Saccharomyces cerevisiae S288C: one gene and its partners. The gene in region 2 interacts genetically with the main gene of each other region. Each region holds a gene or a part of one and is shown on either strand. Other genes may lie near its edges.

The links.
Region 1: mutations in SRY1 (region 2) and YPL229W together harm fitness more than expected from each alone (negative genetic interaction), as found in Saccharomyces cerevisiae (2 studies listed by BioGRID).
Region 3: mutations in SRY1 (region 2) and YMR158C-A together harm fitness more than expected from each alone (negative genetic interaction), as found in Saccharomyces cerevisiae (2 studies listed by BioGRID).

Annotation. Positions count from the first base shown.
Region 1 is NC_001148.4:113,832-118,187, reverse strand, and holds YPL229W (uncharacterized protein), read right to left. Parts: upstream 1,122-4,356; coding exon 501-1,121; downstream 1-500. Other genes in the region: USV1 (Usv1p), read right to left, coding at 1,701-2,876; trifunctional fatty acid synthase subunit FAS2, read right to left, coding at 3,873-4,356.
Region 2 is NC_001143.9:15,262-21,411, forward strand, and holds SRY1 (threo-3-hydroxy-L-aspartate ammonia-lyase SRY1), read right to left. Parts: upstream 3,079-6,150; coding exon 2,098-3,078; downstream 1-2,097. Other genes in the region: COS9 (Cos9p), read left to right, coding at 1-447. UniProt on the Saccharomyces cerevisiae protein: Catalyzes the deamination of L-threo-3-hydroxyaspartate to oxaloacetate and ammonia. Shows a high specificity towards L-threo-3-hydroxyaspartate as other 3-hydroxyaminoacids, i.e.
Region 3 is NC_001145.3:572,694-576,194, reverse strand, and holds YMR158C-A (uncharacterized protein), read left to right. Parts: upstream 1-2,863; coding exon 2,864-3,001; downstream 3,002-3,501. Other genes in the region: CVM1 (Cvm1p), read right to left, coding at 1-1,129; ATG16 (Atg16p), read left to right, coding at 1,267-1,719; mitochondrial 37S ribosomal protein uS8m MRPS8, read right to left, coding at 3,480-3,501.

The DNA of each region.
Region 1 (4,356 bases), on a different chromosome or scaffold from region 2:
CTTTATTACCATAACTTACGACGAAACTAACTAAAATGTAGGTCTATATATCATTTGTAACGGCACGTTGGGTAATCATGACTGGTACATGTTATATGTTATCTACGCAGGTCCTGTTTCTGGCATTATGTATGGCTTGACTTTAGGAGTTCCAGTAAAACAAGGTTCAAGATTTATTATATCACCATACTTGTAGCCTCCAGGATTATTATGAAACAGAAAAATGGCATGTATTTTTGAAAGAATATGGTTATATGAGTATTTAGTGCTTAGTACATACGTCTTGCGTCTGTTTGCAGATAAAACCCTTCTCCTTTTATCTACATATACTAATTGAATAGTGAACTACATGAATAGAAGAAACCGATAATTAAAAATAAGTAGGAAATGAAACGGCTTGACATAATATAACATAACGTAACATAACATGGACACAAGATTTGTTCAAATGAGGAATATGCAAAAAAGAAATCAAAACAACGTGTTTGTCCATATCGCGATCATTCTTGAACACTTTCCAAAGGATTAAAACTTTGAGATGTATAAGGATTGAACTTCGGCCTAGAGTTGAATATAGAAGAAGCAGAATTTGGAGGTGAAGAAGACATAGAACCAGGATTAGAACTGGATTGCGTGTTCTGATGATACAATGACATTTGTTCAGCGGTCAGCCTATCCATTTTCTCGCATGCTTGTTGTTCTTCGAGAGAAAGTAAAGATCTTGGACAGAAAAATAAGTCATCTTTGAAAGATTTGCAGATGTTGTTCTTGTATATTATGGAGGAGTGGTCTATATCTGGGACAACATAATGCTGAGACGATCTGCTAAAGAGTAAAGGAGGGATAGTACTAGTGTTGGCATTCTTGTTAAGGTTTGAGTTTTCGCTGGTACCGGCCCCTACTAAAAACAAAGGCGGGCTTATTGGTTGTTGCTGTTGCGGCTGCTGTAACGATGACGCAGTGCGATTTTGTTGCTGCTGTTGCTGCTGCTGTTGCTGCTGCTGAAGACGATCATATTTGAAATTCTGGAAACTGAGCGCATCTGGAATAATACCAAAGGGGTTGCTGCTTGCGAAGTTCATAGGTTCTTGGATATTTGGAGGGGTGTTGTAGGGCATCATTTCATGTAATATAAAAAAGTGGTTATATGTGATAGTTTATCTGCTAAAATCGGAAAAAGCGTCATCTTGTCAGTGAAATGAGATAAAAAGCTTCTTTCTTTTCTTTTTCTTATTATTGCAATTAACGGGGGTCCGGGTGAGCGTAAGGGCGAGATAACCATGGCGGTATAGGTGTATATGATCAAGTTTTGAAGTCAAGATGCAGGATTGTTCGTTCCGTATTCACAATCCACCGTTAGTGTTACATCGTAGTTTTTGATGCTACTGTGGGCTGTGTAAAGCAGACGCGGGAGTTTAAAATTAAGTTTTGCGGTTATTTCTCGTTGATCAACGCAAGAGGTCAGAAAGCCCTTTATGCAAGGGATTTTTTCTTGCAATTGCATCTTATCATTTTTGTAGCACTGATTATACATAGCTTGACTCATTTGAAAAATTTTATAAACTGCATTTAGTATGGAACAAAACATAAAAATAAAAAAAGATGCGCACCATAATTTGTTTGCGCATATTAAGAATTATATTAGTTGTAAGATATTTATACTCTACGGAATATTTGAAACTTAGATCAGATTGCCTCGATCAAGTCAATATGTAATCAACACTAAGCCTTTTCTTATTGGTGTTGACCGAAATATCAGACTCTGATAAAGTTTCCGACCTCTTTTTGTTATTATTATCATTGCGATCATCAGTATTCTTGAAATTTTCTCCCCCTTTGCCGCCATTCTTCGAGGAAGACATATTATTGTTTTTATTTCCATTTGGTGGTTGGCTAAATGCCTGCTGATACTGTGGTAAAATAATTGGTTTTGCTTCAGCAACTGTCGTTGACGGAGAAAACGGCGGGGAGAATGAATCAAGATGGTTATTGATATTACTAGTATTGACATTGATATTGCTTGGTCTAATATTGTATTTGTTCATAGTTGTCCGTGCTTGAAAGTCGGCAGAATCTTTATATTTGAAGGAAGTACTTGGCATGGACCTCGGAGGAAAGGACGATATGATTACCTCAGAGGCCGGATGGCTCGTTGAGGAGGGGCTCACATTCAAAGGATACTGCACATCTACTGATGGTAAATAATTGATGGTGTTATTATTACTGGGAAGAGGATACTGGTAGTAACTATCAGTGATTGGATGGGAAGGAAAATAATAGGGAGCCTGTTGATGCTGTTGTTGTTGGTGTTGTTGCTGTCGTTGGGTATTATAAATGGACCTTGGAGAGATGGGTGGGATGCTTCTCGTGCTAGTAATGAACTCCGGCGAAGAATGTATTATTTGGGGCGCTTTTTCGTTTTCTGCCATCATCGGCATGTTCCCGCTATTAATATTAGTTTTCCTGTAAGGATCACTATATGATGTAGATGATGAAGCAGAAGACGAAGAAGATGCAGAAGAAGAGGAGGATAAAGATGAAGAGGAAGGCTTACGCTGGTGCGAGCTGGTAGAATGGTGGTTTTTATGTGCATGGACCGATTCCCGATGCTGTTTCAAATTATCAACTCTACTGAAGAATTTCAAACATGCAGGACACTGGAACGGCTTTTCACCAGTGTGCTTTCTTATATGACGTGCAAGATGTTCCGCTCTAGTGAAGGACATCGTACAACCGTCATATCCGGTGCATTTGAACGTTTTCCTTCGAGCACTTTTGGACCTCTTCGGAGTTGATGCCGCTACACTATTGGTGGCAAAGTTACCATTGCTGCTCGTAAGAACGCCTGCAGTATTACGATTCGTGGTATTTTCCATTTCGTGTTTTTTTCTTATCTTATCACAGTATTATTTATGTGTTAGTAAAAAAAGCTAAGCCAGTAAGTCGCTCCAGATTTTTTCTTTACATACATGGTTAATGAAGCTGTTGCAAAATACTGCAGCCAAGAACTCCTGTCTCTTTCAAAACAAGACGAAACTTTATCTGCCGGGATGAATAAGAATTAATCAAAATTATAGGCAATAAGAGTGGATTGAGATTGTTATATACGGAAGACTGTTGAACGGTTAAGGGGGAAGCCGTGAAGGAGCAAACAAATCTTGAAAAAGAAAACATTTTCTAAAAAAAAATAGAGGGGATAAATAAGGCCCTTAGGGGGACTCAACGGCGGAGAATTCGAAAGCCAAAGGATGCTTCCCACCGCTAAGCCAGGGCGAACGGCAGCGGCGATCGAGGATGCTGGTTCTTTAAGGGCACTCGTCCACCTTCGCGATTTTTCTCTTCCCTGAGTATTTGGCAGAGGCGATCAAGGGGTGGCTCACACAACCAGTCGCAGGAGCGTCGCGCATCGGGTATTAGACCCTATTCTGTACACCACAGCCTTCCAGCCCCTTGCCCCACGCGATTGGTGTAAACAATAGATGGCAGTAATCGTTGAGACAACATAACTACCGGCCGTCCCTGACCCTTTCCCCTCCTCACGGTAGAGACAACAACCACGGGAGGAATAAAAACCGGTGCTGGGCCAGCCGATATCGTAAAAGCCTAATTACCCCAGAGCTGCTACGCGGACTTCTATTCTTCCACGCGTCAATATGCCCCCGCGCGAATTTGTGTGGGCCGACCAAATAGAAGAATTGAACGGTGTGTACGCTCAGGGCCATATGATTATAGACGTACACAATGATTAGGCCAGATCGAAATCAGAGGCTAAAGTAAGGAAACGATAGAAAAATAACAAAGTAATTACTATTATGTCTGATAAATAGAAGCGACACGTTACATATTAAAAGAGGGACTACGTAGTGCTCTCTCTATTTCTTAGTAGAAACGGCGACCGCGACAGCTTGGAGGTCATCGTGAGAAATAGATACCTTCACATCGGTAACACCAGCTTCTTCGGCAGCCTTTTTGGCGTTACCGTGCAGTTCAACGGCTGGAGCGTTTTTGTTAACGCGTACGATTTCGATGTCTTTCAATGCAGCACCACCGCCTAAGGACTTGACGCCTAAGGACTTGAAAACAGCCTCTTTGGCGGACCATGTCCCAGCGAAAGAGCTTTGCACACTAGGCTGCGCGCTGCAGTACTCTATTTCTTGCGGGGTGAAATTGCGCTCGATAAAAGTATCATTTTCAACGTTGATGCTAGTGATTAATTCAACATCTACACCGACGCCACCGTTAGAGACTTTCTCCTTGGTCATGTTTTCAATCATCTTGGCAGTTTCAATGGTGTTAGCATTGATGTAACTGTCCTTGCTTTGGATGTTTTTAGAGTTGAAAGTCAAGGAGCCTGAT
Region 2 (6,150 bases):
AGGATTTTCAATCTCTGGCTTTTTCCAGCATTTATTCTGTTTCTGGCTTGTATCTATGTGTCATGGGATAAGGGCCATCTATTTCGTATCTTGTGTTGTGGGGGAGGTTTTCTCCTTATGGTAAGAGTTTTTCAAAATATGAGGCCCTTTTCCATGCACATGGAAGACAAAATGCAGTTCTTGTCAACGATTATAAATGAGCAAGAAAGTGGTGCGAATGGATGGGACGAAATTGCAAAGAAAATGAACAGGTACTTGTTTGAGAAAAAAGTCTGGACTAGTGAAGAGTTTTTCTTTGATGGGATTGACTGTGAATGGTTTTTTAACCACTTCTTTTACCGCCTTCTATCTACAAAGAAACCTATGTTTGATAGACCTCTAAACGTGGAACTATGGCCATACATTAAAGAAGCGCAATTGACCCGCAAACAGGCGCCTCCCGTGTAGGAACAAGCATGCCTTTTCAATTTATAGATCGTGTAGTTTATTAGATGCGAATAGCCTAAACAAGGTCGCTTATTATTATTATTACAACTATTCTTTTTCCTATTCCCCTCTGGTTAACAAAAACCAGTATATTAACAGAAATAAATAATAATAACAAAAAAATATGAATATAAGAATAAATTGCAATAAATAGTAATATTTATAAAATATAAAAAGAAGAAATTTTTATTCTTTTTATATTTTATTATAAAATAGTTCAATTATTTATATTATTTAAATGTTGTAATTTATTATTAATAATTATATTTTATCAATATTTATACGATATAAAAATTTAAAAAAATTATAATATAGAAATAATAAATAATAATAATATGATAATAAAATAATATATAAATAAAAATGATAAGATTATATTAATTTATTTAATTTTCAAATTATTAAATAAATAATAACCTAATACTTACTTTTCCTAATATTATTAAAAATGGTTATTGTCAAACCCATTAACTGATTATATTATAATATTTCAATATTTAATTCACTTAATTTGTTGTTATAATAATTAATGAAATAGAGAAACTATAATCCAATTGATTGTGCAACAGTTTGATCTTCCAAATCATAAAAGAATATTGAGTGTTAGTTGGTACTGGTCATAACTATCCATTTTGAACATAACCATGTAACTCTTTTCCCGTCTACTGTTAATCAAGGGAACATGTTGAAAGTTATATCAATACATGTGTTGAGTATTTCACGCGAATTTATTGCTACAAAAGAGCACTAAGTAATACATCGTTAATTTCTGCGGTAGAACTGACCTGGTGACCTTGCTTGATGCTTTATTGTTTGTGGGATCTGTCACGTATATCGCCATATTTTTTTCCTACGGATATAATGTAAAACACTAATTTATCCTTCAGGGTTGCTCTTTAAAACTCAATTGTTGAATAACTTGGTATTCATATATGTGGCTGCTGCGAATATCTTGACACATATTATGATTATCAAAAAAAAGTGAAGAACTAAATTTAGGAGGATTTCTACAGTTTTGGTCTTGGTTAGGTAATAATTCCTTAAAATAGAGGCTTATCCTTTCCTGTGGACCATAAATATCTTCATGCAAGATCTCGATTGATTAGTAATAAGAGCAGACGATATTGTGTGTGGAAAAGAGAATTTTTTCTGCGTATAAAATAGGACATTATGACAGTTACCTTTAATTGAAGTAGAGATATGTTTTTTCAACTTAGAAGCTATGTCTTTACTGGGTGTAAGCCTAGGAACGCTCTTCTGTTTTAGTTCAAAATATGCAAAAGAAACTAATATACCAGTAATGCTCATAGTCACAGTCAGAAGTTATATTATTAGTTTGACATAAGCAGTATTCTTCCCTCTCACACACTATCATTCTGCCAAAAAATTTTCCCACATAAGGGTGTCAGTTCAGTGAAATATAATACTAGTAGAAAAATATGTAGAGTTATCAGAGTATAAATCAGCTAGAGGCTTTTTTTGCTGAACTCACTTCAAAATCTCAACCATGTTATTAATGTTAAGTCAAATGATATATGCCGTGTGAAAGTAGACAACTAAAGCTTTCCAATTCTTCACTATAAAACTGAACTCAAAATTCAAAAGTATACACTAAATCGTTGGGCCATCTTCCTTCCCAGAGATTAAAGTAGCATATCTCTTCATGTCTACATTACCTCCACTTAGTATTATGCCTACTTTCTTCCCAACTAGCTCTTCCTTTTTTAGAAGTGCACCTGCAAATCCCAAACAAGCTGTGGGCTCAACAACCACCTTCATGCGTTCCGCAAGAAAGTGCATGCATTTTACTAGCTCTTGGTCGCTAACCGTTAAAATATCATCGACATTTTCGCGAATAATGGCAAATGTGTACTCACCGAGGTGTTGTGTTTGAGCGCCATCTGCGATAGTTTTTGGCGTATTGATATGAACAATGGAACCCGATCTGAAGGATTGTTGTCCATCGTTACCAGCTTCAGGTTCAACCCCAAAAATTTTGCAGCCTGGAGAAAGGCTTCTAGCGGCAAGTGCAGATCCTGAAAGGAGCCCACCACCGCCCAAAGGAACAAATAATGCATCAAGTTGTCCAACCTCTTCTAATAGCTCTTTTGCCGACGTACCTTGCCCTGCAATAACATCAGGATGATCGTAGGGCGGAATCAATGCAAAACCATGTTCGGCTGCTAGTTGACGCCCAATCTGCTCGCGATCTTCAGTATACCTGTTATACCTTATGATATGTGCTCCGTAACCGGCTGTAGCAGCAACTTTAAGGGCGGGCGCATCCTCGGGCATAACAATTGTTGCAGGTACATTTAATAGTTTTGCACTAAGAGCAATAGCCTGTGCATGGTTTCCTGATGAGAAGGCAATTACTCCCTTACTTCTTTTTTCATCACTTAATTTTGAAACAGCATTCATTGCTCCACGAAACTTGAACGCTCCCACTCGTTGGAAATTCTCACCTTTAAAGTATATTTGTGCTCCAAGTCGATCATTAAGCATTCGTGAAGTGAGAACCGGTGTTTTATTTACATATTCTTTAATTCTGTTGCTGGCATCCAAAACGTCTCCATAAGTGGGAACAATCATTTTTCCAACTCAATGAAAACTAAATATCTCGAACTATATTAATTATTTGTACTTTTTAAGTTTTTTTTCAATACTCCTTTATTTGAATTTTTGCAGAATGAAAATGTAACTCTTTATATTCCAAAGCTTATCTTTTTCTCACGTACCGTCCTATAGACCCTGATTTTATGATAAGAGGCTGAATTTACTAATTAGTCATTTTTTTCAGTTTTTTTGTCATAGAAGCCACATTTAAAAGAAGTCAGCCAAGTTACCTGTAAATATTAAAACAACCTGCTTAGAATGACTGTTAATTTACAGAATTTACGATAAAAATATAACTTGGCTCTAGGGCGTGATGATAGTGACAAAAAACTCGTCAAGTAAATGTTGGGAGCTTACTTGCCGTCGTTTTCTAACGCCAAAATACACGAATCATGTTTGGGAAATATAAGTGATTAGAACTTGTCCAAGGATATTGTCAAACAATAACATACTACAATAATCCTAGATCGTGTATTATTTGCGTATGGATAAATATACCTCAAGCTTTATGAGGCATAGAAAATTCATTAGAGTCACTACTTACGTCGCACTCTCGAGGATTGGAATGACGAAATCTTCTTCAGCATTTCACCATTCACCTTTTGAAGCTTCCTATCTCGTTGCTTAAGTAGAATGAAAGCATAGCAGCCCAAAAGAAAAGCCTCCCTCAGCAAGAATATTAACAAAGAACAATTCATGGACCGTTTCTACTACTTAATATCTCTATCACAACTGTCAGTCTCAATCAGTACTTAAATGACGCTGCAGAAAAAGATATCATTATTTTTATCATCCCCCTAATAAAATAAGTAATGAATCAATGCCATTAATTCGGGAACTAGTCATATACCTAAGGAATCAGGCTTTGATAGCTCTTTAATAATAATATTAGGGCATTTTTGATATGGTAAAAGATTAGATTAGGAAACCCCTTTTGTAGAGCATCTCACTACAATATCTGCAAAAACGGTCACCTTGCATAGGCAGAACACGCTACCTTTGAGTTAATTCACAGGGGAGAGCCCTTTTTTTTTCTTAGCAAAAGTGCTTAACAATCTTAATTTCTGGAATGTTTTCGGCGGATTGTTGTATATTGTTTGAATTTGTTCGTTCTAAAAAGTGAGACACCTGCACTTTCCACGCCAAGAACACTAATACCTTTAAACATGCCAGCGTACTTTAAAATGCCACGAGTCGCCCCGTACCAAACATGCTGGCGATTGTAATTTTTCGCCTTTTATTGGAATCGAGAATTCGGGCACTGTCCTTTTCTTCGTCATTTCAATGTTATAATCATTTTTATCGCCAAATTTTCTTCAATAAAAGGTCTCTTTTAAAATATGTTACTATGTTTTTTATTTTTCTATTATTTTTCTATGTGATTTTTCAGACGATTTATTCTTTGTTCGAAGGAGAACAGATGCAACGGTCAAGTTTTTACTATCCACATGAGGAGCCGTAATATTCTAAAGGCAAAAGCATGTGTGCTTGTAAAAAAAAATCAAAAAAAGTTACTGCTCCAAGCCAGCAAGCTTTCTCTTTTGCGAAATCTTTAACACGGTTAAAATCAAAGACAATTACTTCATTGACAAGGTCAATGCTAATATTTACGGTCTCCGCACGAAAGACTCTGAAAAATGTTAAAATTTATAGTGGCTAATGCTAATTCAAGAATAGTCTCGGGTTGTTTGATCACATTATTTTAATTTTTATTGAGCACTGAATAGGACCCGTATGTTCCAATCAGTCTATTTCTTGCAACTTAATCTGGTTTGTTTTTAGGGGAGTGGCATTTTTTTTAGGGTTATTCAAATATTCAATTCTGTAATTTGCTTACGACAAAAAGAAAAGGAGAGATGAAAAAAGGGCGACGGGTATAATCTATTCAGCCGCCAATGTCCCGACGTATGCCAAAATGTGGTGCCGCGGTAACAGTAGCATCACACAGAGCATGAGAAAAGCAAGAAAAGTGGAAGTCTGTATGTCACATTTTTATTGAAAATGCTATTTGCTATAAGGTTCGCTATTCAACTGATTGAACCGAGATAGACAAAATGTTAAACTTTTCATAGAGACGTTATTGTGATAGGGTTTACGCTGAGAATGGTTGAAACATACTTGCTAATAAACCACGTCACGTCAAAATATCAGTTTTTCTTTTTTAGTTATTCCCTTCTCACTTTTGACTTGAGATGAGATCGTTACACTTTTATTGAATACGAACGGATCACGATACATCCACATATACGAATGTTCGGCCAGACAGGGCATCAGAGTATATACCCTTTTTCCTAAAATGGAAGGGCCCTAGATCGTTGGCATCAGCGGTTACCTAACCGAAGTGGATCAAATCAGCGCCTATTTTTCCGTTTAGAACGATTAGATGCCGTCAATATGTATGTGCTTACTGTATCATCCACGTAGTAAAGCTGGGGCGTAGCATCCCTAGGTTACTTTCTCAATACTGGGGTCCCTGACCAAAGATAAAACATAACCTATTATGGCGTACGAGTCAAAGTTAAACGCTATTTGACTCGGGCAGCATGCATGACCCGGGGGAATGGAAAACTTCTCATGGCTACCCCAACGAAGCCAGACAAGATCTAGGAGATGTCTCCACCTTCCGAGCTACACTCTCACATCTCTTACATAGACACTGTGAAGTAAGTGATTGCACACAATCCAAAGAAGCACATCAAATAATATGTAAATATTACCCGTACAAATGGCAAATCATGTCCACTTTCCCGTTAGTCATCGGGTGGGCCGGTCCTCGCACTTTCCTTTTGTTTCGGATGTTAATTAATATATAAATGGATCTATAATTTTCAAAAGGTATAAACGCACAGTATGAAAAATATTGCAAGAATAATGTGTTTATAAATTATTTTTTTTGCTGGTAGCAAAATCAACTCATTGTCTTCCATTCAGAGTCTAATCGAACGTTATCGCAATGCTTGCACACTTTTAAACAATACGATTTAGTTTAAGTGGATGGACCCCCACGCTTAGTGTTCCACAGGTTTGTCCCCACTGTTTTTACATTCC
Region 3 (3,501 bases), on a different chromosome or scaffold from region 2:
AAAATCGATAGCCTTGTAAACATGACTGGAAACTCAATACACTCACTGTAGTGTTTTCATCAAACTCTAGAACTTCATTATTTTGCACGATATATTTCGCTAATAGCAAAGTTAAGGGAACGCTGTGATAAACGCCCACAAAAAAAATTGAATCTACCTCTTTGAAAAGATGAGCCCAGTGGTTCAGTAACTCTACACATTCTTTATATGTAGGTATTAAATCTTGATTATGCAGTGGGCACTGGAACGATAGGGTCAAGACTCTTTGAGGTTGTTCTTGCGCTAGATTTTGTGACAATTTTCTAGAAAGATAATAAGCCGATCTTTGTGATTCTAATGAGCGCTGCTCATACTTTTCTGGTAAATCCCCCACGACGGATATTATAATAATTCTCTTATCCTTCAGTAATGCGGTTTTTTTTTGTCTTAAATAGAGATGTTGCTCATTAGGGAAGTTATAGTAATTTTTGATAGTATTCAATACCTTAGTTCTTAGTGGTTGGACGTGCAGAAAATTCAAAGGGTTATCTGATGGTAGGATTAAAGAATCATTAATAAATACATTATACCCAGGGTTACCTCCCTCCCCAGGATATTTGTTTAATGGCAATGGGCATTTGGCTGATCCTGTACCAGAGACACTGATTATTCCTGGGGTATCTATGGAATCAATTATGTTTGATGAATTTGATATATGTGGAATTGCTTCGTACCAACACCATGATTTCGACTTTTTTGAAATTATATCCTTAGCCTCATTTTCCAAGAAGTTGATTTGTTCAGTGTTTAGTTGAGAGTAGCGGGTATTATCATCAACAACAATTGGGGCACTTCTATATCTGGATGTTGCAAAAGAAGCGATTTTAGACCATATCCCTTTATTGTCATTATTCGAGTTCACGCTATCTTGAAAATCCGTTGTCGGACTACTCCTTCCTTGTCCATTAGGATATTCTGCAATTCTTCCCGTGTTTGGCTCATCGTCGGCAGTGGAATTCCACCAGGGTTTCCATCTGTTTTGTTGTCGTGGACGTTGGGGTGGGACTTCCTGCTGGTCCTCTCGTATCTGCTGCTGCTCTTGTGTTTGATGCTGCAACTGTTTATCCTGTTTCTGCTGCACAACATCCATTATAATAGCGTTTTATATGTTGTGCTAAATTGCTACTACACTTGCTCGCTTTTACTTATTCTGTTTGTAGTTGACCTTTATTTAACGTTGATTTTTGTTATTAACCTGCGCGAATCTGTATTAAGGGCGCATATTCCATGGGCAATTTCATTATAACAGAAAGGAAGAAAGCAAAGGAGGAAAGAAGCAATCCACAAACAGATAGCATGGATGATTTGTTAATTCGTAGACTAACAGATCGAAACGACAAGGAGGCCCATTTAAATGAGTTGTTTCAAGATAATAGTGGCGCCATTGGTGGCAACATTGTCAGCCATGACGATGCTTTATTGAATACACTGGCAATTCTACAAAAAGAACTGAAAAGTAAGGAGCAAGAAATACGAAGATTGAAAGAAGTTATTGCGTTGAAAAATAAGAATACGGAAAGGTTGAATGACGAATTGATTAGTGGAACCATTGAAAATAATGTTTTACAACAAAAACTCTCGGATCTGAAAAAAGAACATTCCCAGCTAGTTGCGAGATGGCTAAAAAAGACAGAGAAAGAGACAGAAGCCATGAACAGCGAAATAGATGGAACGAAATGATGCATCAGTTGTCAAATCGTCACAAAATGCATACAAAAGAAAATAAAATCATTGTGGTGCATATACATGGACAGAATATGAAACGCCAAAGTGTTTGCAATAAAGAGGTGAAAATATGTTAAACATGCTATAGAGAGTACACCTGCAAGTTAAGAAAATGCCATTCGTGTTTTTATCTACTATAATGTAATGTGACAGCTGTTTTAAACCTTTCTTAAGGTCGTTTGTGCGAGAACAGGCTTTTTTTTTGGAGAATGTATCTTGAGAGAAACTCAATAGTAATAACTGGATGCATAAAGAAAATTTCATATGAATCACTACAAATCTTTGGCGTTAGAATTCTATTGGGTAAATTGAACTTTGTAGCTTTTTGATGGTAAACTTGGCGGTTTTGCGCGACCCATGATCCTAAGAAACCCGCAGTTTCTATTAGGATTCACGATGGTCTTTATCTCACCTTCTATTATGTGTAAGTTGAAATGCCCCTTGCTGTTCTTATAGCAGAAAGCTTTTTTTTTCATTTATAGGACTAGCATTTTGGCATTGGAAGGGAAAAAATCATGCTTTCATTGAAAAATGAAAAGAAACATATCGTTATTTTGTGGGAACACTGAAGTATAATTTTTTGTTTCGGAAATTTACCATTGCATAGTGGGTATTTTCATCGAAAGTTGGCTAAAGAATGCATGCGGCCTGTTCATTCTGGTTATGAGCATTTCAATTGGTTAGTATATTGGCGTGAGTGGAAAGAATAGTGGATAAAAACTAAGAGACCCGTTCATTCTCCTGATACGATCTTGCGGTAAACCTTATATTTTTGGGGAGGGTACTGTAATATCTCATAACTCCGCGTATTATTGTGGATGTAACTTGTTGCTGATCCTCTCGCTGAGGCCATCATTATACGTGAGTCGAAGGATGGCCGAAATTTTATGATACTACACCGAAATTAAACCGTCGTCTAATTTAAGATGGCTGAAATGCAAAAACCTGGTTCTTTAAGTGGAAAATAGAAGACTAAATGGTTTCATTGCTATTTATGGTGCAAGAAGATGGCTTAAAGATTAAGAAGCATTAATCAGATTTAATGGAAGCTGAAGTGCAAAGGTTGATTATGTAGCGATCTCTAACGACAATTGTTGGAATGAAAATGAACTATCATCTATCAACTAGTAGTTACACTACCAGTATGTTATCATGTACGGTGTTAGATGATGACATAAGGTATGAGAAACTGTCATGGAAGTTAGACGAAGCTGAAATGCAAGGATTGATAATGTAATAACATAATGACACATATAAAACAGAGTGAAGAATAATCGTAGTACTATTATGTAGAAATATCAATTCCATTTTGAGGATTCAACCTAAAATTCATATGTTTTTCAATATTAAATATAAAGGAGCTAAGATTTGGCGTAGGATCTTCGTCTATAAATTTAGTTGCTGATAAATTATTCTCCATTGTTGCTTTTATTGAGTATTAAAGCATTTAATGCTAGAATCCTCCATAACAGACAGCTTCAGTAGCTCAGTAGGAAGAGCGTCAGTCTCATAATCTGAAGGTCGAGAGTTCGAACCTCCCCTGGAGCACATTTTTTTTCAAAACTTTTTATCACTGCTAGTAAAGGTAATGAATGAAGGACGTTACTGTAGTACTATACTCATCATCATTGTCTGCATTTTATAATATTATTATTTACATGGTCCGTATATTTTTTAATTACACGTATAAATACGGTCATATGTGATTGTTCTATTCATTTTACTCTGCATAGTACT